Linked DNA regions of Sus scrofa. The protein of the gene in region 2 binds, or shares a complex with, the protein of the main gene of each other region. Links are inferred from orthologs where the notes say so. Each region holds a gene or a part of one and is shown on either strand. Other genes may lie near its edges. The genes, in order: TAF1B, UBTF, TAF1C, POLR2K, POLR1B, POLR1C and RRN3.

Region 1 (4,038 bases), on a different chromosome or scaffold from region 2:
TGGCATAAAATTTACTGTTTGAAACCTTTCCAAGTTGACTTTCGGGGCGCCCCTCGTCCAGTTCCCGTTTCCTCTCAGTGTTACCCTCTTGCCTTTCATTTGCTGTACATTTGTCAAAACTAAGACGCCAGCTCTGGTACCTTACTGTCAGGTAATCTGCAGTCTTTATTTGTGATTTGACATTAGTTTTTATTTCATTCCTTTTCTTTTTTTCCCTTCCTTCCAGAAATGGTGGTGAGTCTACAAAAACAATTTAGCACACTGATTGATTCCACGCCCAGTGTTGAAAAAAGAAGCCCTTCAAGTTTTCAGTTCAACTGGACAGCAGAGGACAGTGATAGAACCTGTTTCCATGAACACAGCCTCCAGGGGGTCCTGAAGCAGAAAGGCCAGTCACTGACAACCAAGAATTCCCTGTACTGGCTGAGTACCCAGAAATTCTGTAGAAGGTGTGTGTGATGCTCTTAGAAATCCCGGAGTAGGAGCGCCCATCGTGGCGCAGTGGTTAACGAATCCGACTAGGAACCATGAGGTTGCGGGTTCAGTCCCTGCCCTTGCTCAATGGGTTAACGATCTGGCGTTGCCGTGAGCTGGAGTGTGAGCTGGAGTGTAGGTCGCAGACGCGGCTCAGATCCCGAGTGGCTGTAGCTGTGGTGTAGGCCGGGGGCTACAGCTCCGATTGGACCCCTAGCCTGGTAACCTCCGTATGCCGCGGGAACGGCCCAAGAAATAGCAAAAAGACCAAAAAAAAAAAAAGCACGGGATGGGGGCACCCATCTAGCTCAGTGGAAACAAATCTGACTAGCATCCATGAGGCTATGATGGGTTCAAGCCTTGGCCTCGATCAGTGGGTTAAGGATCCTGCATTACCACGAGCTGTGGTGTAGGTCACAGACGCGGCTGGGATCCAGCATTGCTGTGGCTGTGGTGTAGGCCAGCAGCTGTAGCTCCGATTCGACCCCTAGCCTGGGAACCTCCATATGCCACGGGTGTGCCCTAAAAAAAAAAAAAAAGAAAAGAAAAAGAAAGAAATGACAGGATTTAAAAAAAAAGACGAAATCTTTCGTTTGGCGTGAAGTAGTATTCTTTGCTAATTAAAAAAAATAGGCTGGATATCTTCTAAAGGAGTCAGGCTGTAATGAGAGCCAGGTAGGTTGTTTGATGGGATTAGAAGATGGTGAGCTTATAATCAAAACCATCAGAATTACACACTGAGCCTCGTTTATGAGTGTTAGGGATGGAGGTGTTAACTGCCTTTGATTGTTGTGGTACTCATTTCACAGTATAGACACTATCAAATCATCCTGTTGTGGCGTTCCCTTGCAGCTCAGCAGCTTAAAATCTGGCGTTGTCACTGCAGTGGCTCAGGTCACTGCTGTGGCGTGGGTTCAATCCCTGGCCCAGAAACTTTCCCATGCTGCAGGTGCAGCCAAAATGATTTAAAAAAAAAAATCATCCTGTTATAGCCTTAAACTTACATAGCTTGTGTGTCAATGATACGTCAGCAAAGCAGGATGAAGTTTTAGATCATAAAGACATTTCTCATTGAGACCTTAGGTCTTTACACCGACCTCCTTACACATCGACGCAGGCATCGTCCCCAGGGCAGGTCCCCACAGTCGTGCAGGGGATGCGCTGGCGAATGCAGCTGCCCGCATCCCAGCCCTGCTGGTGGTGCGCAAGCTGTGCTCCAGCTCCCCAGCTCTGCTGCCCTGATTGGGAAGCGAGGGGCGATGCTGACCTGGCTCCTCTTCTCAAAACCCCTGGCGGCTCCCGTCTCATTTCAGAGTGAAGTCGGGAGACCCCCTCTGTTCTCTGACCTCCCCTGCCCCCCTCTTCTCTTGCTCACCACCCCTGTTCACACCAGCCTCCTGGCTCTTCCTGAACTTGCCTGACACACTCCATGGCGGGTCTGGGCACATGTCATACCTTCAGCCTGGAACGCTCTTCTGCTCTGTCTCTACATGGGCTCACTTGCAGGTTTTTGCTCAGATTTCACTTCTTCAGAGAGGCCTTTCTTAACCATCATGTCTGAAATATCACCAGCCGTCACCCTCACCCACGCCCACACACCCACACACACACCTCATCACTCTCTGTCCCCCTTGCTTGTTCTTTCTTTTTCCTTATAGCTCGCGTCACGAGGGAATGTGTTGTGTGATTATGTATTTATTCCGTGTATTCATCTGCCTTCCCACAGAACAGGGCTTGGCACATAGTAGGTGCTCACTACGGTTGGTTGGTTGGTTTTTGTCTTTTTAGGGCTGTCCCCGATGCACATGGAGGTTCCCAGGCAAGGGGTCAAATCAGAGCTGCAGCTGCCGGCCTACAGCACAGCCACAGCCACACAGGATCCAAGCTGCGTCTATGACCTGCACCACAGCTCCCGGCAACACTGGTTCCTTAACTCACCGAGCAAGGCCAGGGATCAAACCTGCGTCCTTATGGGTCCTAGTTGGGTTCGTTCACCACTGAGCCCAACAGAAACTCCTAAGTGTTTGTCGAGTGAATGAATGGAAGACAGAAGCTTCCTCGTATGGTTTTAGGAGAGTTAAACGAGTTGGGTGTGTCTGTCACACAGTAAATGCGCAGTAAATGATCACCGTGATTTAACAAAATGATGTTTATTAGAATTTAACTTCCGGAGTTGAATATCAATCGAAGATGAGTACAGTGTAGAAAACACAATAGAAGACAATGAAATGAAGTCATCCGCATTACAGTTTACTGCTTAAAAAAAGTTTAGCGGAGTCTGGAGTGGTTAAGGAGTGTCCCTGTCTTAACAGCAGCAGCGAAAGGCCAGAATCCCAACCCCCGGGTCAGCTCTGCATCTGAGGGCGATACAGTCCTTCGAGGGGTCAGTGCAGTGGCTTCTTCAAGATTTACGGTTTCATCAAGTGGAAGGGAAAAGCTATGATGCTGGCTGGCGGGCTCCGTCCCCATCCCCACCGCGCCCCATAGGACCGGGAAGTTGGGACCTGAGGCGCTGTTGCTCTTCTGCCTGCAGAGCTGGTTCTGGAGGAGTTGGGGTGGGGGCGACACCTTCATGCTTTTTACATGATCCAAAGTTTAGATGTTCTTCATGGGTTTAATACTGTAATAGAAGACGGTTAGTTATAAAGAGACATTGATGGAGTCAGAGGTGAAATTGTCGAGATGTTTTTCCCTGCGTGCATTTGACGGCGGAGCACGGCACCAGCGATGCCGTAACTTTGAGCACCCAAGCTGTCCGGTTACCTTTGCCTATTTATTTTTAATCTACTTATTTTTTATTTGGGCCACACCCGCAGCATGTGGAAGTTCCTGGGCCAGGGATCGAATCTGAGCTGCAGCTGGGCCAGATTCTTAACCCACTGCACCTACGGCACAGCTGCAGCAGGGCCAGATCCTTAACCCACTGCACCAGGCTGGGGATCAAACCTGCGCCTCAGCAGCAGCCTGAGTGGCTGCAGAGCTGTTGTCGGCTCCTTAACCCATTGTGCTACAGCGGGGACCGCCACCTTGTCTATTTAGACTACAGCCTAGAACCACAGGGTGAGCAAAAAAGGGTTTAGCCAATCTTAGTAAAAAGGTCACCAAGTCCATGACTAAAACTATACGCTTTTCTCAGGATACCCCTTAGCCCCTAACTCGGAGCCCGCACACACTGCCCAGAGGGGTGTGTGTGTGTGTGTGTATGTGTGTGTGTCTGTGTGTCTGAGCTGTCTGATTTCCAGTTTCCTCTTCAAGAGGAACTGAGTAGGAGAGAGACTGAGAGCTACTCTGCTGATAAGCGTCCTGACAGCAAATGTGGTGCTACTCCTTTGACAGACAGTGTAGGGACTGGCAGAGAAGCAGACCAAAGAATTCAGATGGCCCTTCAGAGACACGGGATCACTGCCCAGAACCAAGCAAGCCTGACCGAGTCCCAGTTCGAGGGTGGAGCATGGTCCCAAATTGTGTGCACTCGTGGGGTTTGTTCTTCTTACCACTATAAAAGTGGATAACTTGTCACCATGTAATATAAGCGCTTTAAAAGAACATGTTGAATGTGCTCTA
Region 2 (3,604 bases):
AAGAGCATGACCAAGCTTCGAGGCCCGAACCCCAAGTCCAGCCGGACTACCCTGCAGTCTAAGTCGGTAAGGAGCCCCTCCCAGGAGGAGGGCCCCGTGCAGGGTCCAGGGCGCGGCAGGGACCCCTGATGGGCTTCCATCCCTCGCAGGAGTCTGAGGAGGACGATGAAGAGGATGAGGAGGACGAGGACGAGGACGAGGAGGAGGAAGATGACGAGAACGGGGACTCCTCCGAGGATGGCGGCGACTCCTCCGAGTCCAGCAGCGAGGACGAGAGCGAGGACGGGGATGAGGTGGGGCGGGCGGGCAGGCGGGCGGGCGGGAGGGCGGGACGGGGTCCCGCCAGCACGGCCCCCTGGTGACTGCACTTCCCTTGCCTCCCAGAACGAGGATGAGGATGAGGACGAGGACGACGACGAGGATGACGACGAGGACGAGGACAACGAATCCGAGGGCAGCAGCTCCAGCTCGTCCTCCTCGGGGGACTCCTCGGACTCTGACTCCAACTGAGGCTCAGCCCCACGCGGGGCGCCCCTCCTCGACTGACCACCTTTGTTTCTCTCCCATGTTCTGTCCCCTGCCCCCTGGCCTCCCCCACTTTCTTTCTTTCTTTTTCTTTTTTCTTTTTTTTTAAAAAAAAAAACAAAATACAGTGGGGAGAGGCACTGGAGGCGCCCAGGCTAGAACTCTGCGGCCTTAGAGCCATCAGCCCTGGAGGGCCCTCCAGGGAGCGCAACCACCAGACTGAGCCACCACTGGACCGGCCCAGCCCACCCCTCTTTTGCACTCGCAGTTCCGGCATGGACAATGGACCTGGGAGTGGGATCGGGGGTGGGTCCCAAAGAGTTCTCTGAGGCCCTCTACACCTGCAGCCCAACCCCTGGGAGGGTGGAAGCTTGGGGAAGGCCCCTTTGTTTCCAGAGGGGCTGCAGCCTGGACCCCTACATTGGAACTGGAGGCAGGGGACATGGGAGAGGAGGGCGGGTGCCTATGGGGAAATAGGCACGGCCCCCCAGCCCTCTCCCCTGCCCCCTGCAGGAAGGAGCTGCCTGGACCCACTCACGAGGGGAGGGGGCAGAAGTGTTTTTTATATATGTGTATATATTTTTTTTTTTAAGCTCTGAGCTGTCAACGAGACGTTTCCTACCGATCTCGGCTGCCGTCTCTGTTGTCATTTCTGGGAGAGGGAGGGGGTAGGGGTTAGGTTTGGGACTTTTTTAAAACGGTCTTGATGCGTGTGGAAAAATGCGTGTGTGTGCGTGTGTGTGTGCGTGGCCTGTACATAGCATGGGTGCACCTGTGGATGTGTGCAAAGGCACATGTGTATTTGTGTGTGTAAGAGAGGAGGAGGAGCCCACCTCAAGTCTGTGAATCTGGTGAAAGTGTTGGTGCGGGCCGGGGTGACATTGATCCTGATGGGGACAGGCTGGGTGGCCCCTTTCTCCATATCTTCTGCTTTGCCGAATCTCGGATTCAGTTTTGCGGGGTGACCGAAGCTCCTCTGATGCTTCTCATACTGGTTTCCCTCTGAGCTACTGCTGGTCTCCAATATCCAGCAGGATGGCGGAGAGGGGAACAGACCAGGTAGAACCTTAAAGCTTTGATTTGGTGGGAAAGGCCTCTGCAGCTCATCTGAGAGGCCTCCCGGCCACCCTGGGCTCCGAGAAATGTGTTGGAAGCTTGTAACTTACACGTCGCTCCTGCCTTTCCGCCACATCCTCCAGCTCCCCCACCCCCATTTCCTTTGATTTCTCAGGTCTGCCCACCTCCCCAAACCCACGGCTGGGGAAGAGGTCTGCACAAGCTGTTTTTGCAGCTGTCCTAACCCTTCCCAGCCATCCCCCCAATTTTGGTACCCCGATTCCTAAACTCTTAATAAGCCAAGCCACCTTGTCTCTGGGTTTAAATTTGGGGGGGTTGTTTTTATTAAATTTTGACTTTTTTTTTTTTAAACAATCACATCGTTGACCTATCTAATCGGGGCTTTGTGCTTTTCCACCTTCCCCTCTGAATGAAAGCCAAGGGATGGGGAAGAGTGGGAGCTCCGCCCAGGAGGCGGGCTGGGAAAGGTGGGTCCTGCTCCCAAAGGCAGGCGGTCCGCTTTGCCTTGGACTTGGTGCTGGGAGTGGGGGGAGCTAGGGAGGGACACTTCCCACTCCCACTCCCCTTCCTTTGTCCTGATCCTGGAATTAGGTACAAGGGTTCATAGGTTCTATTTCTTCCGGAGAGCCCCTGCAGAGAACCCTGTTTCCCTGTTTGAATGCTCCTGCGCTGTTGTGTTTTAGTGAAACATGTCTTCACTTAAAACCAACTTCGAGCGGGGCACTGTTTCTTTCCCCCCGTTTTGAAAGTTGAAAAATTCTTACAGTACAAACAGGGCTGTGGGGGGTTAGGGTGTTGGTGCTGTGAGAGGTCACTCTGAGTGCATTTTGGCACTGGGATGGGATGGCTGGGGTGGGAGGACCCCGCTCCCCCCCCTTTTTTCTAATATTTAAGGAGTGTTTTTGTAGGTTTCAACAACAACCACAACTTGAATTTGTAACATGGGAGGTGGGAGGGAATGGCTTAGAGGTGTCCGCCTAAGCTTAAGGCCAACTGTGGAAGTTTTGTTTTCCCTTTTTTTGTACAATAAAGTAAAAAAACAAAGGTTTGAGTGCTGTCTGATCACTGGACTCCATGAAGGGGGAGTGGTGGCAGAGGTGACCGAACAGGCTCAATGTGGAAAGCCCCTTGAAGCCAGCTTCTTGGCCTCTTCTTTCTAGAACCATCTTCCTCTCTCCTGAAGATGCCATAGGCAACCTACCTTCGCACTGTTTTGTGCTACTGGGGGTTTTTTTGTTTGTTTTGTTTTGCTTTGTCTTTTTGCCTTTTCTTGAGCCCCTCTTGCAGCATATGGAGGTTCCCAGGCTAGGGGTTGAATCGGAGCTGTAGCCACCAGCCTACACCAGAGCCACAGCAACTCGGAATCCTAGCTGCATCTGTGACTCACACCACAGCTCACGGCACCGCCGGATCCTTAACCCACTGAGCAAGGGCAGGGACCGAACCCGCAACCTCATGGTTCCAAGTCAGATTCATTAACCACTGCGCCACGACGGGAACTCCTTGTGCTACTGTTTTTGCACTTTCTCGATTCAGTTGGTTCACGTTGGGTTGTCAGGCCACTAAGGACTGGATATTTGGAAAACAAATACATTATTTTCTCCCAGAGTGCAACTGCCTTGAAAAAAATGGAGATGATGAGCCATTAGGGTCAGGGGTTCATCCCCGTCATGCATGGGCTTGTCATTGGGAGTTGAGCCCTTCGCTCACTCAGGGTTAGGAATGAGTTTCCTAACACCCAGACCTCTGATGGGAAGTGGGCTGGGCCGAGATGAATCACTCTCTGAGGGTAAGGAAGACAGCCGTCCCTGCACTGGCCCTGACTGGGTTCCTGGAATGCCACGGGCTAAAGCCCCAGGCTTTAGACCCACCACAGGCTTAGACCCACCTAAGACCCCTCGCTTCGCCCCACGGCCCTCTCTCACTCTTGGCCAAACTTGTGAAAAGCTGCTTGCCCTTAGGGTCTCCCATTTCCTCACCTCCCACGCACTATTCCCCTGAG
Region 3 (4,814 bases), on a different chromosome or scaffold from region 2:
ATGGAAGCTGTGGACTTGGAAATTGATTATTTTTATTTTTTGTCTTTTTAGGGCTGCACCCACAGCATATGGAGGTTCCCAGCTAGAGGTCGAATCAAAGCTACAGCTGCCAGCCTATGCCACAACCACAGAAGCGTGGAATCTGAGCCATGTCTGTGACCTACACCAACAGCTCAAGGCAATGCCAGGTTCTTTTTTTTTGTCTTTTTGCCCTTTCTAGGGCCACTCCTGTGGCACATGGAGGTTCCCAGTCTAGGGGTCTAGTCAGAGTTGTAGCTGCCAAGCCTACGCCAGAGCCACAGCAACGCGGGATCCTAGCCGCGTCTGCAACCTACACCACAGCTCACAGCAACGCCGGATCCTTAACCCAGTGAGCAAGGCCAGGAATGGAACTCACGTACTCATGGATACTAGTCAGGTTCCTTAACCACTGAGCCATGACGCGAACTCTTGGAAGTTGATTCTTTAAATGAATGGTTCTCAAAGTGCGATGCCTGGACCAGCAGCATCAACATCTCTGGAAACTCATTAGATATGCACATTCTTTTTTTTTTTTTTTGTCTTTTGTCTTTTTGTCTTTTGTTGTTGTTATTGTTGTTGTTGTTGTTGCTATTTCTTGGGCCGCTCCCGCGGCATATGGAGGTTCCCAGGCTAGGGGTTGAATCGGAGCTGTAGCCACCGGCCTACGCCAGAGGCACAGCAACGCGGGATCCGAGCCGCGTCTGCAACCTACACCACAGCTCACGGCAACGCCGGATCGTTAACCCACTGAGCAAGGGCAGGGACTGAACCCGCAACCTCATGGTTCCTAGTCGGATTCGTTAACCACTGCGCCACGACGGGAACTCCTAGATATGCACATTCTTAGATCACATCCCAGACCTACTGAACCAGGAAACCCTGGGGGTGGGGCCCAGCAAACAGTTATAACAGGCTCTCAGGGGATTCTGGCACACACTCAGATTTGAAAACTCCCGGCCTGGATAATGGTAATATTTATGATTGACCAGTAGTTCTTAAAGGGTGTTCTCCCTACAAGCAAAATCGGCATCACCTGGCAACTTAGGAATACAATTTATCAGGCCCCAGACTCACAGAACCAGAAATTCTGTTTTAACACACGCTCCAGGTGATGCCAATGCTAGCTAGACTTTGAGAAACAATGCCTAAAGCTGTATTTGCCTGACCACTGGGAAAGCCTCATGCGCTCCCATGGGTACCAGAACCTCTACTTGTAAAGCCTATTTCATAGTATATAAGGACAATTAGGATTCCTGCTGACTAATGAAGTGCCTGGCTGACAGTAGGTGCTCAGTGTTTGTTGAGTGAATTAATACAACAATCCTGAAAAATGGGAAGTTAGTTAAGCACAGGTGGGGTTCGCACGGCCATCAACCTGGACTTCACTATTGGAATTTTTTTTTTTTGTCTTTTTGTATTTTTCTAGGGCCGCACTCCTGGCATATAGAGGTTCCCAGGCTAGGGGTGCAGTCGGAGCTGAGGCCGCCAGCCTACGCTAGAGCCACAGCAATGCTGGATGTGAGCCGCATCTGTGACCACAGCTCAGGGAAATGCCGGATCCTTAACGCACTGAGCGAGGCCAGGGGTCAAACCCGTAACCCCCTGGTTCCTAGTGGGATTCCTTAACCACTGAGCCACCACGGGAGCTCCCACTATTGGATTTTGACGGGATTTTGTTTTTACTGCCCACAGGGCCGCCTCCACCCCCCATTCCCCCTCCGCCCGGGAGGTGGCGCTCTGGGGCGCCCATGAGGCCAGGCTGGGAGGCGGGACTTCCTGCCTTCGAGGAAGTACTTCTAGCCCAGCCCGGAAGTCAGAATATTCGCTGTTGTGGGAGGTCCCGTGGAGGGAGTTGAGCTTGGATTCAGTTTTCGGGCTCCCTCGTGGCGCGAGGGTCAGGCGAACGGCCCGCGGAGGTTCGTTTCTCAGGCGACCACGGCGAAGCCTAGGCCACGTAAGTGTGCACGCCGCCTGGCCGGCACTCAGCGGCAGGTCCCTCTGCTCAGGTCCGCGGGCTCCGAAGTGGTTTATTAGCAGCCGCTGGCTCCCGGAGTTGGGAGGATCCCGCCGCTGTAAAGCGTGGTAGCAACAACTGTCTGACACCCAGCGCTTGGTGCGAGATCTGTCTTGCTATTGTTGGGTTGAACTTCTGGAGCCTGGAGGTGGATGGGGAAGGCTTGGACGAGGGGATGTCTGAAGGGAAGGGCTGCCAGCATCCACTCTCCCATCCTCTGGCAGGCGCACCTTTTGCCGTGCCCGGCCTGGAATTAATGCCGGTGACTAACCCTGCATCCTTGGATGTCGAAAGGGGCTTGGAGAGCCCAGCCCGAGGGCGGGAAGTCGAGGCTGTCTTGTCTTGGGGCTTCTCTGAGATCATGGGCTCCACTAGCGCCCTCAGCCTATGTATTTGTAAGGCTGTTTGGTTTCTTTCTCCTCTCTTCCATTCGTTCTGGATTTGTTCCTTCAGCTTATAGATGTTGATTGTTACTATGTAGCAAATACCAAGGCACTGGGGATAAGGTCCCTTCCCCAGGGGGACTCTTAGAACAGTTTGGAATCACATAGCTTCATCCATAAGTCTCTAACCCCACACCGGAAGGCGTTCTTAGGAGGAAGGGTGCAGGGTGTTTGTTGTGGGCTAGGGTTGGGAGAACTGGGAGAAGTGTCCTGACTTGCAATCTGAAGGGTGAGTAGGATTTTTGTAGGTGGGTAGGAAGGGCAATGGGGCTCATTCTAAGCAGAGAGATAGCGATAAACGGTCCTGAAGTGAAAAGACACATTCCCGCCACTGCCCTCTCCTGTTACGGAAAAGAGAATGACAGCAGCAGCCAGACGCCAGGATCTCAAGAATGAATCAGATACTGTCTCTGCCTCTGGAGAGCAGTCTCGCAGAAGAGAGAAGACTACACAGAAACCACAAGTAGAATGAGGCCCAGAGAAACACATTCATTCATTTGACAAGTATTTACTTCACTTACTGTGCAGTGGACACTTCACGGGGTGCTGAGGGTACATGGATGTTGGAGGTTACAGAATAAACAGGCACAGTGCACCTGCTGTTGCTGGGGAAAGGGTTTTGCTTCCTGAAACTCTCATGCTGGTGTTTCCTTCTGGATGCACAGGAAAGCGAGTAGTGGTTCCGAACTTGGACTTTGAGTCTGGTGGAGGATCACGCTGTTGGCCTTGGGAAAGTCACTCTTTGCTGAGCCTCAGGGTCCTGAACTCTGTCTTAGAGGCAGAGGAAGAGTGAGACATGTAGTACCTTTGTCTGGCAGATGCTGGTGCTCAGTCAGTGAGCGCTGCTGTTATTTTTGTGGTTAATTAAAAAAGGGAAGAGGGGTTTGGTGTTCCAGTTGTGGCTCAGTGGGTTAAGAACCCAACTAGTATTCGTGAGGATGCAGGTTCAAACCCTGGTCTCGCTCAGTGGGTTAAGAATCTGGTGTTGCCATGAGCTGTGGTGTAGGTTGCAGACTCGACTCAGATCCCACGTTGTTCTGGCTGTGGTGTAGGCCGGCAGCTGTAGCTCCGATTCCACCCCTAGCCCAGCAACTTCCACTTGCTGCAGGTATAGCTGTAAGAAGAAATGGGAGGAAAGAAAAAGGAGGGATTATTTTTCTGCTTTTCTAGGACACTTTGTATTTACCAAAGGCCTTTGACGTAAATTTATTATTCAACACACAGTCAGCTACATTTTTTGGAAGGTACTTTACCTGTCAGTGGGAAGGCAGACAAATAAGATTCGTTGTCCCTGGCTTTGGGGACTTGAGTTTGTCTTGAGCGTGTCGTCTGAGGATGTATAATTAGGATATATGAAGGAGCGGGATGGAAGCTGACCCCTTGCCACCTGACTTGGTCCCGTCACCTACCTCCGGGTTCATTCCGTGGCTGCCTGGTTGTTCAGGGGGTGCCACATGCCTTCTGCCTCTGTGAAAACCACACCCTCCCCTCCCCTCCCTCCTGGCTGGCTGGTTGGTGTTCATGGAGCACTTATTACTGTCTGGCACTAGGCTGCATGTTTGTTCTTTGTTAGCTGCTTCCCCAAAGAAACTCTTCCCCCCTCGGGGCCCTTTTTGCCTTCCCTGCCTTCCCAGGAACACTGGCAGCTGCCGGCAGGTTCTGGTCTCTGAGCAAGGCCAGTGTGACGTGTGGCTCTCGTTTTCCAGGATGGACTTCCCCAGCCCGCTCCCGCCCTCTTTGTTTATGACCGGCCCCCTTGGTCTGAGCGGTGTCCCTGATGTGTCCTTCATGTGCAGCTGGAGAGACGCGCTGACGCTGCCGGAGCCCCAGCCCCGGGCCTCTGAGGTGAGGGTGGCGGGGGGGGGCCCGGGTGGTGCGCCTGGCCCCCCGCTCCTCGCACAGATCCGCGCCGGAATCCTCTCCTTTGGGGACCAGGGATGCTCTGCCGTCCACCGAGGGCTCCTGAGCGGGAGCTGTTGGCTTGCTTTCCTGCCTCCCTCTCCCTCTTCTTTCCTTCCTCTATCTGTCCAGCAAAGACTCACTGAACAGCCACTCCTGTGGGCCAGCTGCCTTCCGGCCTGGCATCCAGTGTAAGTCAGATGCTCTCCCTGCCCCAGGGGAACAGAGGGAGCTTGAGCCAGAGTAGACGAGTGAACAGGCCCAAGGATGAGATCACTACAGAGTAAGCGAAATCCAAAGGATGCCCATCCAGCCCAGTGGGCCGGGGGCGCAGGGGTGGGCAGACCTCCCGGAAGCCTAAGCCAAAGGGTTACACCAGGCAGAGGCCATGGGGCGGGGGGCGTGTTCCTTGGCAAGGCTTCCCTGAGATTGCCCCT
Region 4 (4,610 bases), on a different chromosome or scaffold from region 2:
ATGAATATGATCAATGAAAAGAGCTATTCAAGGGGAAAAAATGGTAATTTGCATCTCCATAACCATATTACAAGGTACTAAAAGCACTAGTATCCAACATGGCAAGACAAATACCCTCATTAGGAGAAGGCAATGCAATGATGTTTGGCACATAGTAGGCACTCAAGAAATGTTAGTTGTCATCACTGATAATAGCTTCCACTGACCATGCTCCACATGATGCTAAAATTACTGTTCCTACTCATAGGAACAAGAGTGTTGGATTGGGATCTAGCCCCAACATGAACTCTTGTTGAAATTCTGGATCTCCTTGCTACAACTTGTCTTTACTCTACCCCTCTGTAGGGTCCCAGGAGCCGTTTGTATTCTGCATGTGTTAATTCCTCCTGATCTCCATAGACTGCATTAAGTGCCAGCATCTTCTTGAAATCTCAAGCTTGAGAGTTGGAATCCAGGTCAGCTTGCAATGATTAAAGTTATACTTTTTGGATCACTCCATAATCTTTCTCTTATGATAACAATGGTTTTATCTAATACTTCTTGGAGCAAAGCTTATTTTGATTCTTCTTTTGGGTTACCTCTTCCCTTTGGCTGACAGGAGAGATATTTTTTAAGATGGTCAAAATACTTGTATGTTCTGTCTTAGCCTGTCTGTGGAGGAAGAAGCAGGACACTCCACTGTGTTTCCTGAAATTTTTACAACAGGGAGCTAAGAAGACTGGGAAGATTGAGTTAAATCTCTCAAGTTGGTCTGTGGAGGTGCCGGCAGTTGGAACTCCTCCTGGAAGTGTAATGCGAAGCTCAAAGTTCCCAAGTTTCCGTATGGAAGACCAGAGAGCAGTATTGCCTGCTTAATAAGAAACCAAAATAATGCATGTTGGGAAGAAAGAAACCTGCTTCTCCAATTAACTGTAATAGATAACGAATATGTATTTTCTAAATTGTAACAACTTCATTTTCTTCCTCTCATTCTGATATTAGTAAAATGCCTGCTATGAAAGAAGCAAACGAATGTAAATGTGTACATCCAACGATAATGTCTCACTAATAGTTTGATCTTTGAAAGGATTCCACTGAGCAGGTCGTTTTGTTCTTCTAGAGAATACATGGGACCAAAGGAGGGTCGGTAAACAGCCACCACTACCTAAATCCCTCAGCTTTAAGTGGCAGTAGTTGGATGTAGCTGCCTGCAAGTCCGCCTGTGCTTTAAAACGAGTAAAAGGAGAGGCTGAGAAGGATGACAGGTACCTAAGTGAGAAAGGGTCGAAAAGCAAACATTATGCAAAGGGCAGGAGGCGGCTGTTCCACTGCCGGCGGCACAGGTATTAAAACGATCTGAAATCCATAATCTGAAAACTGCTCTTCTACGTGGAAATCAGCGGTGAAACCGATACTTCCACGTTCTTTGGAGTAACGGTCAGCCCAGGGATTCCATGAGCACTTCACTTGGGTATCTAACGCTCTGACCTCTTGGAAAACTGTTACTTTCTGCGGCCTTCATTTGTCATAGAAACAAACCTCCTTCGACCTGAGAAACTGCTAAAATTCTTTGCCTCCCCGAAAAATGAAAATAGTTGGGAGCCAAATAAGAACCTCTACAGAGCGAATCAAACATACATAATTCCAATTTAACTGCCCGCGCTCAATCCGGGTTCTTCGGCCACTCCTTGGGCGGAAGGGGCGGAGACTACATCCTGCGTCATCTGCCAGTGCCGGAAGTGGGCTGACACACAGCGGCCTCAGGAATCTGTTAGGGAGCCTCGGGAAGTTTCTCCGTGTTCCGTGGGTAGGGGTTTGGCGGATTGGCGGTTTGGGATTGGAAGGTGAGTGTTTGGGCCAAAACTGGAAAGATACTAGGGGTTACAGGAGGTCCGGTGTGGGATTAGAGTCGAGAGAGGCTGGGGATGGAGTCGATGCTGTTAGCCCTTTGGCTTGTTTAGCTGTTGGGTTGTCTGCCTTTTCAGCTGTTAGGAGTTATTTCATTATTTTTCCCTTTTCTTCGGTTCGCATGTTTTCCTGTTGAGGGGTATAGTTTTTTGGCAATTTCTTGCTAAATTTTGGGAAAATTTCACTTGTGGGAGTTCCCCTTGTGGCGCAGCGGAACTGAATCAGATGAGTATCCTTGAGGATGCGGATTCCATCCCTGGCCTCGCTCTGTGGGTTAACGACCCAGCGTTGCCTTGAGCTGTGGTATAGATAGCAGACGGGGCTCGGATCCCGCGTTGCTGTGGCTGTCAGGCCTATTGGACCCCCTAGCCTGGAACTTCCACATGCCGCGGGTGGAAAAAAAAAAAAGAGAGAGAGAGAAAGAAAAAGAAAAATTGGAGTTCCCGTCGTGGCGCAGTGGTTAACGAATCCGACTAGGAACCATGAGGTTGCGGGTTCGGTCCCTGCCCTTGGCTCAGGGCAGGGTTAATGATCCGGCGTTGCCGTGAGCTGTGGTGTAGGCTGCAGACGCGGCTCGGATCCCACGTTGCTGTGGTTCTGGCGTAGGCCAGTGGCAACAGCTCCTATTCGACCCCTAGCCTGGGAACCTCCATATGCCGTGGGAGCGGCCCAAAGAAATAGCAAAAAGACAAAAAAAAAGAAAAAGAAAGAAAAAGAAAAATAGTACTTGTACTCGTGTTAAATGAAAACCAGAGCTTCGCAGTCAGATCTAAATTCCTCTGCCTTTTAACTACTGAATAATCCTGACCAAATTAACCTTCCCTAAATCTTAGTTTCTTGATCTGTTCATTAAGAGTAATTATTTAACCGCCTAGAATTGTTGTAGAGATTATAATGAAATAGCATGTGTAAATATGAAATCTGTAAAGTGTTTATGGAGTCCAGTTTGGGGGTAAATGCAAAATGCTTATTTGTGGGTTTGATTCATTCTTTAGAACCAGCGGTAGGATTTTTAAAAAGTACGGATTAGGAATTGGGAACTTTTTAGCTTTTTAGCTTTCCCTGAGAAAAATAAGGCATGATTGGATTTGTGAGGGGCCCCTTTAAGATGTTCAGTATTTGAATCTGTGATTTCAGGGATAACGATGGACACACAGAAGGACGTTCAACCCCCAAAACAGCAGCCAATGATATATATCTGTGGAGGTAAGAGTGGCACTTACATAAAATAAAAGTATTTTACCTCAGTTTTTTAAAAAGATAGTGCATTTATCTTTATTTTACTTGAGTCCTTCCTCTTTGAAGTTAGCGCTTTAGCAACTATTTTAAGATTTCATTTTCTCTCCTAGAAAAAGTGCGTTGCCCACCACTCTTTTCTTTCTTTTCCCTTAATATGTTGATAATGTTGAGATTTAGTATACATATTTTAGTGCTTTGGGGGAAAAGTATAATTAAGATAATTTGCTTGCCTCTTATTTCTCTTTTAGGCATTGAATAAATATGTTTTCTCTTTTAGAATGTCACACAGAAAATGAAATAAAATCAAGGGATCCCATCCGATGCAGAGAATGTGGGTACAGAATAATGTACAAGAAAAGAACTAAAAGATGTATCCTTTTAACTGTGTTTTCTAAATATGAGGTAGGAGGAAGTGGAGAATAATGCTTGGGTTGATAGTCAAAGACTAGCTGTTAAAAAATGGTAAAACTTGGATTACTTAGTGAAAAAATAAGCATGGAGTTGCCATCGTGGCTCAGCGGACACGAATCTGACTGGCATCCATAGGGACGCAGGTTTGATCCTTGGCCCTGCTCAGTGTGTTAAGGATCTGGCATTGCCATGAGCTATGGTGTAGGTCGAAGATGCTACTGGGATCCTGAGTTGCTGAGGCTGGTATGTATGTAGGCCGGCAGCTACAGCCCCCATTCGACTCCTAGCCTGGGACTTTCCATATGCTGCATGTGCGGCCCTAAAAAGGCAGGGGAAAAAAAAGCTTGATTAGCATTGTTATGGACCAATATGCCGGTACATAGGCATATACTAAATAATCTAAATACTAGTTAATTTTGGTTTTCATAAGTGTATCTTTCTTGGATTCTATATTTAAGTACTCATTCTTGAGCTTTAGTTCATGGACACACTAATTATACAGGGAGAAATAAAAATATTGAGACGTATATTACCTAGTGGAGAAAGTGAGGCTTACAAATTAGTAGAAAGTAAATTGTTATGTAGTAACTAACAGTATTTTTTAGATTGCTAAATTTTTACCTTTACCATCACTTAAGTATTTTTTGGTGTATTGGTCTTTTGTATCATGAAAAGGGGACTAATAATTAACTAGTTTATTTTTAGTTCATTTCTAATTATCATAGTAAATAGTGAATTTCATTCTTTTGTGTATTTTAAATTGATGTCACAAAGAGAAAGTGACTTGGAAGAGCTAAATTTTTAATGAAATCTTTAATTACTTTTCTTTTCCTTAACTCAGTTTAATACAGTGGTGGTTTTTGATGCTCGATGAAACGTGAAATTCAGAGGAATATCTTCATTTGGATTTGCTGTTGATGTTGTATAGCTTTTGATTTGTGTACTTTAAGAATACAGCTGTGTATCATGATTTCATTTTAAAAACCATATTGTATTTAGGGGTCTATTAATAGTTTAATATAAAGGTATTTTTGGTTCAGTTTCATGCTTCATAATTTAATTTCATCATATAT
Region 5 (4,038 bases), on a different chromosome or scaffold from region 2:
GGGTTAGTGACAGGTATTTAACCTGTACTACCCCCTTTTTTCTGTGGTGGTGGTTTTATTGAGGGCTCTGGTCCACTCACTAACACATTTTTAACTTTCTTTTTCTTTGTAAATATTAGTGGCGTATAGGGGACCCTAAAATACAGACTTTATATTTCAAGTAATATTAAAGATATGCCAGATACAAGTCATCCTGTTGCCTACTGGGATTTGAAAATATATTAAAAAAAAAAAGGAGTTCCTGTCATGGTGCAGTGGTTAACGAATCCGACTAGGAACCATGAGGTTGTGGGTTCGGTCCCTGCCCTTGCTCAGTGGGTTAAGGATCCGGCATTGCCGTGAGCTGTGGTATAGGTTGCAGACGTGGTTCGGATCCCGCGTTGCTGTAGCTCTGGTGTAGGCCAGTGGCTACAGCTCCGATTAGACCCCTAGCCTGGGTACCTCCATATGCCGCGGGAGCGGCCCAAGAAATAGCAAAAAGACAAAAAAAAAAAATTTTTTTTTAAAATAAATAAATAAAAGTCAGGTAGAGGAGGGAGTTCCCGCTGTGCCATGGGGGTTTAAGAATGTAACCACAGTGGCTTGGGTCGCTGCAGAGGTGCTGGTTCGATCCCAGTGCAGTGGGGTTAAGGATCTGGCGTTGCCACAGCTGCAGCTTGGATTCAGTCCCTGGCCCAGGAATCCATATGCCGCAGGGCAGCCAAAAATAAAAATTGACATTCACAAGTCTCTGCTTTATAAAAAGAATTAGAACGTTTTCTTAGTTTTCAGTGCTCTGGAAGAGCTTAGGAAGCATTAGGTTATCTAGTCTTAGATCTGCTAGAGTTCCCCTGTGTAACCATCTGCTTCTAGTGCTCTCTTTGGGGATAGTTCCTTTAAAAACTGAGAATTTTGATTTATTAATTTGAACCTTCTTCTCTACTCTGTCTCATTAATTTCAGGTTTTATCTTTAGTGTTGTTTTTGTTGGTTTTTTGCGGCTGCACCTGCAGCATGCAGAATTTTCTGACCAGGGCTCAAACCTTTGCCACAGCAGCAACCCAAGCCACTGCAGTCACAGCTCCAGATCCTTAACCCCCAAGCCACAAGAGAACTCCTAATATGATTTCTTTACTTGTACTTTTTTGGGGTTATTTTGTTCTTTTATTTTTATTTTTGGCTTTTGAGCTTGGAGTTTAACTTATTTATTTTCATTCTTTATTTATTTTATTTGCTTTTTCTGGGGCTGCACCTGTGGCATATGGAAGTTCCCAGGCTAGAGGTTGAATCAGAGCTGTAGCTGCCAGCCTACACCACAGCCATAGCAACATGGGATCTGAGCTATGTCTGCAACCTACACCACAGCTCACCGCAACGCTGGATCCTTTAACCCACTGAGCGAGGTCAGAGATTGAACCCGCATCCTTAGGAATTCCTTACCACTGAGCCACAATTGGAACTCCCATTCTTTGATTTTATTGATGGGGAGTTTAACTGTGAATTGCAATACAAGTTTCATTATTTTTCACATTTCTGTAATTTTAGTTTGTATTTCTCCGTTCATCATTTGTATTTTTGTTTGTTTTTAAATCCCAGATGGAAGGGCCTTTTCATTGAATACATTTAAAAATACAACCGGTAATCTACTCTATTTTAGACATCAGAGAACAACATTTCATTTAGTGTATCGATACACACATTCTTGTTTACCTTTGCCCCAGTCTCTGTCATTACCAGTTTGCCTGAGAGTGGGACCGAGCCCCCAAGGAGGAGGGTTTCTTCCAACTCTGGTTATGGGGTGACTGGCCACCTGTGTGGGGTTGAGACTGAAGGGGCACTAAGTCTGCTAACTGCGTAACTGAGTTCACTTCTTATGACAAGTTGTTCATGTTTCATCTCCTGCATTGTACCAGCCTCCCAGGTGGCAGAGGGATGGCTGTAAAACACGTCACTTATTCACTGAACTCGCTTGTTGTTGAAACCAGGTGTTGAGAGAAAAAAGAATTCCTCCCTGGATGGAGGTGGTCCTGATCCCCATGACAGGAAAACCAAGTCTGTACCCAGGATTGTACCTTTTCACCACGCCTTGCAGACTGGTGCGGCCTGTGCAGAACCTGGGATTAGGCAGAGAAGAACTAATTGGAACTATGGAACAGGTACATTGAAGCAGTTTTCATGCTCATCAAACCTGAGAGAGGGCTGGTGGGCCCATGGCCTGCCTTTCCCATCCTGCCCCCCCCCCCCCCGCCTTGTTCCTTTGTGGCCAGCTCTGCCTCTGCTTCGGGTGGTGAGACTGAAATATTTCGTTAGATGCAGAATCTTTGCTTATATCTCTGTAGTTACAAAACTGTGTACTTTGTGCTACTAAATAATTTTCCCTCCTTCCCATCCCCCTTCACAAATGGATCAGGTTGGATTTCGTTTTTTTGGTTTTTTGGTTTTTTGCCACCATGCCTGCAGCATGTGGAAGTTCCCAGGCCAGCGATCAAACCCAGATCACAGTGTAACAATGCCAGATCCTTAACCTGTGGAGCCACCACGGAACTCCCAGACCAGGGTCGACTTAGAATGAAAAGTGTCAGGCATGTGGTATTCTAAGTGGATCCTTTCAGTGTTCATGTGCTGGGTGGGAAGGTTTTCTTTCAAGTCTCTGAGGCCCCATCTCAATGAGGTAGTGAGAGCTAATACATGTCAGCAGTCACAGGAATCTTGGGCCTTGGCTTCCTCACCCTTCCTCTTTTCCCAGATCTTCATGAATGTTGCCATCTTTGAGGATGAGGTTTTGGCTGGAGTTACCACCCACCAGGAGCTCTTCCCTCACAGCCTGCTGAGTGTGATCGCCAACTTCATCCCGTTCTCTGACCACAACCAGAGTCCGAGGAACATGTACCAATGCCAGATGGGTAAGGTGGACCAGAGGGTGCTGATAGCCATACGTATAGAAGAAAAGGGCTTGTAATTTCTAACTTTGAAATAACTTCGAACTCAGAGAAGAGGCACAAGTTATAAGAATAATACAAAGAACTCCCATAATTATGCTTTATTTGCACTGTTTTCCACTTGAAAATGAGCTGCAGACACAATACTCCTTTACCCTTAAATAATTCAATGTGTAATTCCTAACAACAAGGAGTTCCACTTAACATAACCAAGGACAGTTATTAAAATCACCCCCTCTCTTGGAGTTCCCGTAGTGGCGCAGCGGAAACGAATCTGATTAGGAACCATGAGGTTTCAGGTTCGATCCCTGGCCTCACTCAGTGGGTTAAGGATCCAGCCTTGTCATGAGCTGTGGTGGAGGTCGAAGATGCGGCTCAGATCCGGCGTGGCTCTGGCTGTGGTGTAGGCCGGCAGCTGTAGTTCTGATTAGACCCCTAGCTTGGGAACCTCCATATGCCATGGGTGCAACCCTAAGAAGACAAAAGACAAAAAAAAAAAAAAAATCACCCCTCTCCTCCCAGCAGTGTTACTATCCCATAGTTTGTATATATGCTTTACATCCCCTTTTTATGCATTTATTACACCACCCAGATGTCCATAAACTAGGTCTAGAATTGTTTGGGATGTAGAAGATGTATGTACATAAATAGTATCATATCCAACGGCATTCTGTACTGAACTTATGTTGCTACATGAGGGTCTACTTCCATTTTTTCACGCTATGTATTATTAGTCTGTAGTAAACAGCCGGCATGATTTATTCATTACCCTGTGATGAATAATTAGTTTCCAATTTTATATGTCACCTTTATAATCAAGGGAGAAAAAACAAAATGCTAATTTTTTCCCTTTGCAGGTAAGCAAACCATGGGCTTTCCTCTTCTCACGTTTAAAGACCGATCAGATAATAAACTGTATCGGCTTCAGACTCCACAAAGCCCTCTAGTGAGACCGTACATGTATGATTATTATGACATGGATAACTACCCAATTGGGACAAATGCCATTGTTGCTGTCATTTCTTACACTGGCTATGATATGGAAGATGCCATGGTAAGTTCTAAGAGATGCAGTTCCATTCTTCTCATGTTTCACTTCTTCATTTACTGTGAGATTCCCA
Region 6 (4,593 bases), on a different chromosome or scaffold from region 2:
GTTTGCTAGATGGAGAAGAGGAGGAAGGTGTGTTCTCGCCAAGCCCTGTTCTGTGACTGGAATCATGAAGAGGGGATTCTAAGGGCTTGGAGTCTGCTTGTAGAGTGGATGAAGGGCTAGATGTCAGGAAGGCAGCTTCGGTCAGGAGGATCCTCACCTGCTTCGCACCTGTGCAGGCTCCACATCAAAGTAGGGTCTCAGGATGTCGATGTTGGCGTACAAGCTGAAGGCCCTAGAGGCTTGTCTCTTCCCCGCCTGCCACATCTGAAGCAAGGAAGACCGGGTGGGGTGGGAGGGTATCGTGAGACTCTTGGCTTTAAGGCCCTTTTGCTTATTTCTTGTTGGATCTCTACATGGTTCTAACTGGACAAGCTGGGGTGAACTTCACTAATACCAACTCAGAACCAGAGGCCTCAGGATACTTTTCCACCTGTCAGAGAGCCAGTCTTGCTTACCTGATCAGCCACCTGCCGGCTCAGCTGTCCCTTAAAGCCCTTCATGCCCAGAAACTCCCCATCCTCTTCTTCAGCGGCAGCTGCATCAGCATCCACTTCTTCCTCACGCAGGCGCTGATGCAGCTCACCCATATCCTCGAAGCTGGAACCTGAAGTATCATCCATGTTCTCCATGTCAATCACAGCTGAGCCCCCACCCTGTGAAGACAACGGATCCCACAGTGGAGGACCTTTCTGCTCCATCCGTTATGTCCTTCTCTGTTCACCGGAGAGCTTGGAGCTTTGTCCTTTCACTGCTGGAGATACGGCTTAGAATTACCATAGACCATGCCACTCCCCTCCCCTCAACTGCTCTCAGAACCTTTGTTTGGCTCTCTTTTCCAGCCTGGGAAACCTACTCCCTGTCTTCCATACGTGTCCTTTTCCTACCAAAGCCACAAAAGGCTGCAAAAGTGCCCATTTCCTTTGTGTTTTCCACCCCAAAACAAGGCTGCGCGCACAGTGTGGTTTTGGCCAGTGAATCCCGCCTACCCCCCATCCCACCCTCGCCCCTGGCCGTGCCCGACCTTCTAAGTTGTGCGGAAAGCAAGAGCAAGGGGGCTCAGAGGTACTAGTGTGGACCTTTTAGGTCCGCACTAGTTCCACTGCCTTTCACGTGCACGAAGACCCAAAGAAGACAAAAAGTTCTGCAAACGGAGCAGACTTCCAAGGCTCGAAGGAAGAGTCCCCATGACACTTCAGGACAGCTGCAGGCCGTGGGGCTGCTGGCAGCCGGAGCCGTGGGGCGCTTACCTGGATGTTTTCATCGAATCCTCCCCATTCCGGGCCAGCCCCATTTCGGGCGCCGCCGGCCGGCGCCGCCGGAGTTGCCATGTCCCTCGAGGGCTCCCGTCGCTGAAGCCCGCGCTAGTCCCGCGCGCTGAGGAGGAGTGGGAGAGATGAGGGCCTGACGGATGGACAGGTCCAGGGACTAGAAAGAAAGGTGGGATCGGCCGGAACGCAAAAAGGAGAAAACCGGATGTTTGGTTAAAACTGACTTCCGGTATCTGAGGACGTGGACGGAGGCGGGGCAGATTCTCGCGATATTTAGGATTCCGGGAGGTGGTGTGTTGCCACGGAGACGGGGCAGGGAGACTAGAACGCACGCGCAGGCTTGGTACTCTAGTCACATGGTGGAGTTGAAGATGGCGGCGGCTCAGGCTGTGGAGGAAATGCGGAGCCGCGTGGTTCTAGGGGAGTTCGGGGTTCGCAATGTAAGTCTTGTGGACTTGACCTCGGGAGGAGAAATCAGAGCGGAGCAGGGATGAGTTAGAGTCGGAGTGGGGATGAATTTGGCCTCGCTGCTCCTTCGCGAACAGGTTCGTTTCTCTTTGCTCTAGGTTCATACTACCGATTTTCCCGGTAACTATTCGGGCTATGATGATGCCTGGGACCAGGACCGCTTCGAGAAGGTGGGTAGAGCTGGAGGTGTTCAGAGAGGGTATGAGGATCGGATCTTGCACTCTGAACATCCTGTTCCTCGGAAACTGCCTTGGGGGTTCGCTCTGGATGTGTTAGGCACTCGATGTGCACAATTTCTGCTTTGTTCTACAAGCTAACGAGATGGTTCGGTCTTTTTGGAAAAGAGTACAGGTAACACGACTCTAGTGAGTTGTGGTAAGGGCGATTAACAGCAATAAAGATTGAAGCTGCACTCCCTTTCGGGTGGGACTCGAACTCAGCCAAAACCCCCATTGGAACTTGAACCCATGGTCCCTGACGTAGGAGGGGACTCAAACCCACTGTCTTAATTGATACCGCTCACCTGCTATCGTCAGGACTTCCTGAGCCTCAGGTTTTGTCTCGTGGGAAAAAGAATTCAGCGTGAGGCAAACCGATACACAATAAGTGAATTTATTAGCATAGGACGCTTGTCAGAAATACTAATGAGCAGGCAAGGGAGTGCGACCCAGAGAACAAAGAGGGCTACATTTTTATAATCAAGGTGAAAGTGGGGCGGGGAGAAGACCACCTTATTTCTCATTCTTGGGTAAGATGGTCCAGGCTTGCATCATCAGTTCCTCCTTTGACCCTATATGGTCTAAGGGGGAGTGTCATGGGCTGTTTAAATCATAGGTATATTAGCAGAAGCGGTAACATATGCGAAAATGTGGTAATTCGTTTCAGGTTGCAGAATAATTTCCCCTTTCACCTAGTTTTTTCCCTCTTTCACCTTGTCTACATGCAGCAATGCCAGTCTTCAAGGACCAATAACTCTGACTTCATGTAACAAGATTGAAACCCCATATCTCTTGTCTTGGGTTTTAACTATCAGGACTTGTGGCTTGTTTCTGGTGCTTAGATACACCTGGTCTTCCTTCAAGGTGGTGTAGATTGTTGCTAAGTTACTGGATTCTTAAGTGGTCGGTTGTTGGCTTACAGCAGTCTTCAAACCCCCTTAACATTTCCTTTTTGTCTTTAAACCCTAGTGGGACTTCTAAACTATGTGATTATCCTACTCTATCCCCATCATTCCTTCCTCCAGCTGTTTTACTCCATTATGCTTAAATGAGCAAATAGGGAGAGACCGATCATTAGCTGCTTCCTCCTGAGATGGGTCATAGGTCTGTCTAGAGAAGGAGCATAACACCTGTCCCTCCTCTGTTGGGAAAATAATAAGCCAATGCTGCTTGTTAGTGTTAACCTTGTGGCTTCTGTTGATCTTCCGCATCAGATGATAAATCTATTAAAGAAATCAAGAGAAACGCAGCAGTAAGCAATTAAAAGAGATTGTAGCCAAGATTTTGGGGATCCATTCCTTCATTCCTCCAAAAGCCCTCCCAAATCTGGAAGAAGGCAACTGAAGGTCTCAATCTGTGTTTGTGTTTTAGCACTTGAAATACATTAGCAGATTCATCAAGAATAAAAGCACAAGATTCCACCTTAATGATGGCACAGTTTCCTTCCTGGGAGGCTGTAATAATGTCTAAGGCTATCCTGATTTGTAGAATGGCTTTTCTCATTAAAGTCATTTCAACATTGGGTAAAGAAATAGCATCCAGGAGTTCCCATCGTGGCGCAGTGGTTAACGAATCTGACTAGGAACCATGAGGTTGCGGGTTCCATCCCTGGCCTTGCTCAGTGGGTTAAGGATCCGGCATTGCCATGAGCTGTGGTGTAGGTCACAGATGCGGCTTGGATCCCGCGTTGCTGTGGCTGTGGTGTAGGCTGGCAGTTACAGCTCCTATTAGACCCCTAGCCTGGGAACCTCCATATGCTGCGAGAGCGGCCCAAGAAATAGCAAAAAAGACAAAAAATAAAATAAAATAGAAATAGCATCCAGCATAGTCCACCTTAATGATGGCACAGGTTCCTTTCTGGGAGGTTGTGATAATGTCTGAGGCCATCCTGATTTGTAGAATAGCTTTTCTCATTGACGTCATTTCATCGTTGAGTAAAGAAATAGCATTACCTTCTTTTTTTTTTTTATTTTTTAAAAAAATGACTTTCATTCAAAGTCTCCTGTGTAAATTTTGTTAAAGTTTCAATATGAGCTGCAACATTTTCAAGACCTAAACCTGGCGTAAAGATGTTTAGCAAGTGATCATACCAATGAAAAACAGACCAAGTCCATTTTGCTTTTAGCAAGGGGAAGTTGGCAGGAGAATAATTCAGAGGATAATAATCATAATGCATATTTGTACTATTCTTTGAATGTATTTTGTTCCTTAATAGTTAAAGCAGATGTACTTCCTCCCTCTCTATGTGCTTTTTAGGGCCTCACCCTCAGCATATGGAAGTTCCCAGGCTACAGCTGTTCTCAGAGCTACAGCTGCCTGCCTCCGCCACAGCAACTTGGGATCCGAGCAGTCTACACCACAGCTCATAGCAATGCCGGATCCCTGATCCACTGATTGAGGCCAGGGATCAAACCTAAATCCTCATGGATGCTAGTCGGATTTGTTTCTGCTGTGCCACAATGGGAACTCCCACAATATATATTTAATAGGCCACAAATAGGCTGTTTTGGGTCAGCCTAGATTTCAAATTAAGTAATGTATAAGCCAGAATCATTTCTTCATACTTGAATATGTGAAAATTTTCTTCCATCATTTCCCCCATTTAGGTGTAAATCTCTCCATAGAAGGTGTTGGTTTTT
Region 7 (4,038 bases), on a different chromosome or scaffold from region 2:
CTCCTCTTTGCTCCTTAGACTTCTCTCTCGGCTGGCTGGCTTGCTTACCGTATACACCAGCCTAACTGAGCTGCTTTTGGTTTTCTGAAGACTTGCTTTTACCTTCGTAAGGGATAGCACCCCAGAGAATGAAGACTCTTTTTAAAGACAGTGCAAGTGTTACTTCCTCTTTTTTTTTTTTGCTTTTTAGGGCCACACCCATGGCATGTGGAAGTTCCCAGGCTAGGGGTCGAATCAGAGGTACAGCTGCCATCCTGTAGCCACAGCCACCAGCCATGCAGGATCCGAGCCATGTCTGCAACCTACACCACAGTTCATGGCAATGCCGGATCCTTAACCCACTGAGTGAGGTCAGGGATCAAACCTCATAGATACTAGTTGGGTTTATTACTGCTGAGCCATGAAGGGAACTCCTGTCATTTCCTCTTTAGAACCTTCTCTGACCTGTGCCTTCTTCCACAGGAACAAGGACCGCATTCTTTGTGTTCTACTGTATTTTATGTCAGCATGTCTCCTCCTTGGGGTTTTAACAGACCAAGAATCATATCAGTTGTGTGTATGTTAGTTCAGAAGAGTGTTGCAAGTAATTTATTTCCAATAATAATTCAGTACTTAAGCACCAAAGTCTCTGACTGGTTTGCTTGAAACAGTGGAGCAGTTCTGGGAGTTCCCTTTGTGGCTCAGTGGTTAACGAAGCTGACTAGGATCCTTGAGGATGCAGGTATGATCCCTGGCCTCGCTCAGTGGGTTAAGGATCCAGCATTGCCATGAGCTGTGGGGTAGGTCACAGATGAGGCTTGGACCCTACGTTGCTATGGCTGTGGCGTAGGCTGGCAGCTGTAGCTCTGATTTGACTCCTGGCCTGGGAACTTCCATATGCCGAGGGTTCGGTCCTAAAAAGGGGGCCAGGAGTTCCATTGTGGCTCAGCGTGTTCCAAACCTGACTAGCATCCATTAGGATGAGGATTTGATCCTTGACCTCATTCACTGGTTAAGGATCTGGCATTGCTGTGAGCTGTGGCGTAGGCTGGCAGCTGAAGCTCCCACTTGACCCCTAGCCTGGGAACTTTCATATGCTGTAGGTGTGGCCCTAAAAAAGCAAAAGCAAAAAAAAAAAGGTGCAGTTTAAATGTTGTCCTTATAATTTACCTAAGCTTGTTTTAGTGGAAAAGAGATCGGATAGAGCTAACTTATTTTTATTTGCACATAACTTAGCTTGTCTTTTCTGCTTCAGGCCTTGTTTTCTTTAATGATTGTGGACATTGTGACATTACTGCAGTGCAAATGAGTCGTGACTCTTTTACTGCCAGGTTAGTTAGGATTTCATCAGCAGGCCATCCATGTCATTGAGGTTTGTCACAGAGTGCATAGGAAGCTCTCACTGGTTGAGTGAAGGTGGGGAGCGCCTTCCCCCGGGGCAGGGCATTGTGGGAGAGTGGCTGGAGCACTAGTCTAGGCAAATGGGTTTGAAGCTAGTTCTTTTTTTTTTTTTTTTGTCCTTTTGCCATTTCTTGGGCTGCTCCCTGGGCATATGGAGGTTCCCAGGCTAGGGGTCTAATTGGAGCTGTAGCTGCCAGCCTATGCCAGAACCACAGCAATGCGGGATCCGAGCCGCGTCTGCAACCTACACCACAGCTCACGGCAATGCCGGATCGTTAACCCACTGAGCAAGGGCAGGGATCAAACCTGCAACCTCATGGTTCTTAGTCGGATTCGTTAACCACTGCGCCACGACGGGAACTCCTTTTTTTTTTTTTAGTCTGAAGCTAGTTCTATACTGGCTTGGTTGGGCAAATTGCTTGTTAATCTTTCTTAGCCTGTTTCCTCATTCCTGTAAAATGGGAATGACAGTAATCCCTGTGCAGCATTGTCGGGATTAGGAAGAGGTCCATATGTGCAGTGTTGATGGCTGGCACTCGGCGTCTTCTCCCTGAATGATGCTCCTTATGAGTAGCCTGTCGCTGTAGGTGCAGCGCTGTTAAGAGCCTATAACTGCAGGATCAAGACTGTTCATGGTCTCTTGTTGAAGGTACAGCACGGTATTGCTTTTGTTTTTTTATGTCTCTTTCTCCTACTTTAACCTGCATTAACCATCTTCTTTCAAAAATTAGGGGTTTTAATTTTTTTCTTGTGAATTATATATGCATGAATACAAAACTATTTTTATTAGATATATATTTTTTTTATTTAGCAGGTTTTCCCCCGCACTTAATGTATTATGGATGGCAGTTTTATTGTCTGAAAAATATGTGAAGGTGTAGTGGAGCTGTCATTTATATAGAACACATCTTAATACATTTAAACTCATTTGCAGGTTGGGTTAAGAAAAAGTTGTATTTATTGATCAACTTAGACTGAGTGTGATCAGCATGTTTGCAAGGCAGCATGAGTATAGAGGAAGTAGAGGTACCTTGTGATCTTAGAATATTTGAATCTGTTATAATTCTTCAATTTAAAAAAAGTCCCAGGTGTCAACATTTGAGGTGTTTCCTAGGGCAAACAGAAGAGACCAAAATGATGTTTTTTGGGGGGCCAAACCCTTGGCATATGGAAGTTCCCAGGCTTAGGGGTTGAATTGGAGCCACAGCTGCTGGCCTACACCACAGCAACTTGGGATCCAAGCCGAGTGTCTGTGCCCTACACCACAGCTTAAGGCACTGATGGAGGCCAGGGATCAAACCCTTGTCCTCATGGATACTAGTGGGATTTCTTTTTGTCTTTTTAGGGCCACACTCTCTTTGGCATATATGGACATTTCCAGGTTAGGGGTCAACTCAGAGCTGTAGCTGCCGGTCTGCTCCACAGCCACAGCCACTCCAGATCTGAGTCTCGTCTGCAACCTATACTGCAGCTCATGGCAACACCAGGTCCTTAACCCACTGAGCGAGGCCAAGGATTGAACCCGCGTCCTCATGGATATTAGCTGGGTTTGTTACCGCTGAACCAGGACAGGAAGTCCACAGTAAGAAATTTTTATCCCAGTTTTCACTTCAGTCCAAATTTGTGACTTTTCCCCCCTAATTTAAATATTATTCCCCAGATAGGTACCATCTTCTGTGTTGTTTTAGAGGATCTGTGATTTTGAAAGTACTTTTTTTTGTTTAACTTAAGGATGACCAGATCATTAACTGGCTGCTAGAGTTCCGTTCCTCCATCATGTACTTGACAAAAGACTTTGAGCAGCTTATTAATATTCTGTTGGTAAGTTCACTGTTAATTTCATTGACTCTTATTTTTGTAACTCAGTACTTTAAAAATAGTATATATTGTATCAGTAAAATGTTTCCGTTCTTTTTTCCTCTCTCCCACCTCTAGAGATTGAAGTGGCTGAACAGAAGTCAGACAGTGGTAGAAGAGTATTTAGCTTTCCTTGGGAATCTTGTATCTGCACAGACTGTCTTCCTGAGACCATGTCTCAGCATGATCGCCTCTCATTTTGTACCTCGTGAGTGGTTGCTCTTGGCTTGCTTTGACATTTCTTTTCTTTCTTTCTTTCTTTTTTTTTTTTTTTTTTTTTTTGTCTTTTGTGTTTTTAGGGCCACACCCATGGCATATGGAGTTTCCCAGGCTAGGGGTCTAATCTGAACTGTAGCTGCCGGCCTACGCCACAGCCACAGCAGTGCCAGATCCGAGACGCCTCTTTGACCTACACCACAGCTCACGGCAATGCTGGATCCTTAACCCACTGATCGAGGTCAGGGATCGAACCCACAACCTCATGGTTCCTAGTTTGATTCATTTCCGCTGCACCATGGCAGGAACTCTGAGTTTTCATTTTTTAAATATCTCTGTTACAGTGCCACTTCCCCATACATTTTGGAGATTGTACCACCACAGAAGACTCCAGGTTACATATCAGCAGCAGTTCTGATACATGTCTGTTCCCTGTAATGACCTCTGTGGAGGCATCTAGATTCATTCGTTGCTGTTATTTTTGTGGGTTGTAATTTGCTATGGTGAGCTTCTGATGCAGTCTTAGAACTCAGGGATTTTTAGTTACTTAAAATCCCTCCCTCCCAACTGTAAATTTTATTCTTG

The links.
Region 1: UBTF (region 2) and TAF1B share a complex: the UniProt entries of both Homo sapiens proteins name them as parts of the pol I pre-initiation complex. The link is inferred for Sus scrofa from reciprocal best matches to the Homo sapiens genes UBTF and TAF1B.
Region 3: UBTF (region 2) and TAF1C share a complex: the UniProt entries of both Homo sapiens proteins name them as parts of the pol I pre-initiation complex. The link is inferred for Sus scrofa from reciprocal best matches to the Homo sapiens genes UBTF and TAF1C.
Region 4: UBTF (region 2) and POLR2K share a complex: the UniProt entries of both Homo sapiens proteins name them as parts of the pol I pre-initiation complex. The link is inferred for Sus scrofa from reciprocal best matches to the Homo sapiens genes UBTF and POLR2K.
Region 5: UBTF (region 2) and POLR1B share a complex: the UniProt entries of both Homo sapiens proteins name them as parts of the pol I pre-initiation complex. The link is inferred for Sus scrofa from reciprocal best matches to the Homo sapiens genes UBTF and POLR1B.
Region 6: UBTF (region 2) and POLR1C share a complex: the UniProt entries of both Homo sapiens proteins name them as parts of the pol I pre-initiation complex. The link is inferred for Sus scrofa from reciprocal best matches to the Homo sapiens genes UBTF and POLR1C.
Region 7: UBTF (region 2) and RRN3 share a complex: the UniProt entries of both Homo sapiens proteins name them as parts of the pol I pre-initiation complex. The link is inferred for Sus scrofa from reciprocal best matches to the Homo sapiens genes UBTF and RRN3.

Annotation. Positions count from the first base shown.
Region 1 is NC_010445.4:126,530,504-126,534,541, reverse strand, and holds part of TAF1B (TATA box-binding protein-associated factor RNA polymerase I subunit B), read left to right. Parts: intron 1-226; coding exon 227-449; intron 450-4,038. UniProt on the Homo sapiens protein: Component of RNA polymerase I core factor complex that acts as a GTF2B/TFIIB-like factor and plays a key role in multiple steps during transcription initiation such as pre-initiation complex (PIC) assembly and postpolymerase recruitment events in polymerase I (Pol I) transcription.
Region 2 is NC_010454.4:19,003,500-19,007,103, forward strand, and holds the end of UBTF (nucleolar transcription factor 1), read left to right. Parts: coding exon 1-66; intron 67-149; coding exon 150-293; intron 294-384; coding exon 385-510; 3' UTR 511-2,646; downstream 2,647-3,604. UniProt on the Homo sapiens protein: Recognizes the ribosomal RNA gene promoter and activates transcription mediated by RNA polymerase I (Pol I) through cooperative interactions with the transcription factor SL1/TIF-IB complex.
Region 3 is NC_010448.4:4,446,932-4,451,745, forward strand, and holds the start of TAF1C (TATA box-binding protein-associated factor RNA polymerase I subunit C), read left to right. Parts: upstream 1-1,740; 5' UTR 1,741-1,975; intron 1,976-4,184; 5' UTR 4,185-4,185; coding exon 4,186-4,323; intron 4,324-4,509; exon of another isoform or gene 4,510-4,568; intron 4,569-4,595; exon of another isoform or gene 4,596-4,660; intron 4,661-4,814. UniProt on the Homo sapiens protein: Component of the transcription factor SL1/TIF-IB complex, which is involved in the assembly of the PIC (pre-initiation complex) during RNA polymerase I-dependent transcription.
Region 4 is NC_010446.5:36,849,695-36,854,304, reverse strand, and holds POLR2K (DNA-directed RNA polymerases I, II, and III subunit RPABC4), read left to right. Parts: upstream 1-1,682; 5' UTR 1,683-1,823; intron 1,824-3,024; 5' UTR 3,025-3,032; coding exon 3,033-3,093; intron 3,094-3,403; coding exon 3,404-3,496; intron 3,497-4,388; coding exon 4,389-4,411; 3' UTR 4,412-4,576; downstream 4,577-4,610. UniProt on the Homo sapiens protein: DNA-dependent RNA polymerase catalyzes the transcription of DNA into RNA using the four ribonucleoside triphosphates as substrates.
Region 5 is NC_010445.4:43,953,433-43,957,470, reverse strand, and holds part of POLR1B (DNA-directed RNA polymerase I subunit RPA2), read left to right. Parts: intron 1-1,963; coding exon 1,964-2,134; intron 2,135-2,724; coding exon 2,725-2,881; intron 2,882-3,774; coding exon 3,775-3,971; intron 3,972-4,038. UniProt on the Homo sapiens protein: Catalytic core component of RNA polymerase I (Pol I), a DNA-dependent RNA polymerase which synthesizes ribosomal RNA precursors using the four ribonucleoside triphosphates as substrates.
Region 6 is NC_010449.5:38,509,961-38,514,553, forward strand, and holds the start of POLR1C (DNA-directed RNA polymerases I and III subunit RPAC1), read left to right. Parts: upstream 1-1,560; 5' UTR 1,561-1,624; coding exon 1,625-1,708; exon of another isoform or gene 1,709-1,780; coding exon of another isoform or gene 1,781-1,813; intron 1,814-1,834; coding exon 1,835-1,906; intron 1,907-4,593. Other genes in the region: protein YIPF3, read right to left, coding at 158-264, 456-653, 1,248-1,328. UniProt on the Homo sapiens protein: DNA-dependent RNA polymerase catalyzes the transcription of DNA into RNA using the four ribonucleoside triphosphates as substrates.
Region 7 is NC_010445.4:7,561,786-7,565,823, reverse strand, and holds part of RRN3 (RNA polymerase I-specific transcription initiation factor RRN3), read left to right. Parts: intron 1-3,111; coding exon 3,112-3,201; intron 3,202-3,315; coding exon 3,316-3,445; intron 3,446-4,038. UniProt on the Homo sapiens protein: Required for efficient transcription initiation by RNA polymerase I (Pol I). Required for the formation of the competent pre-initiation complex (PIC).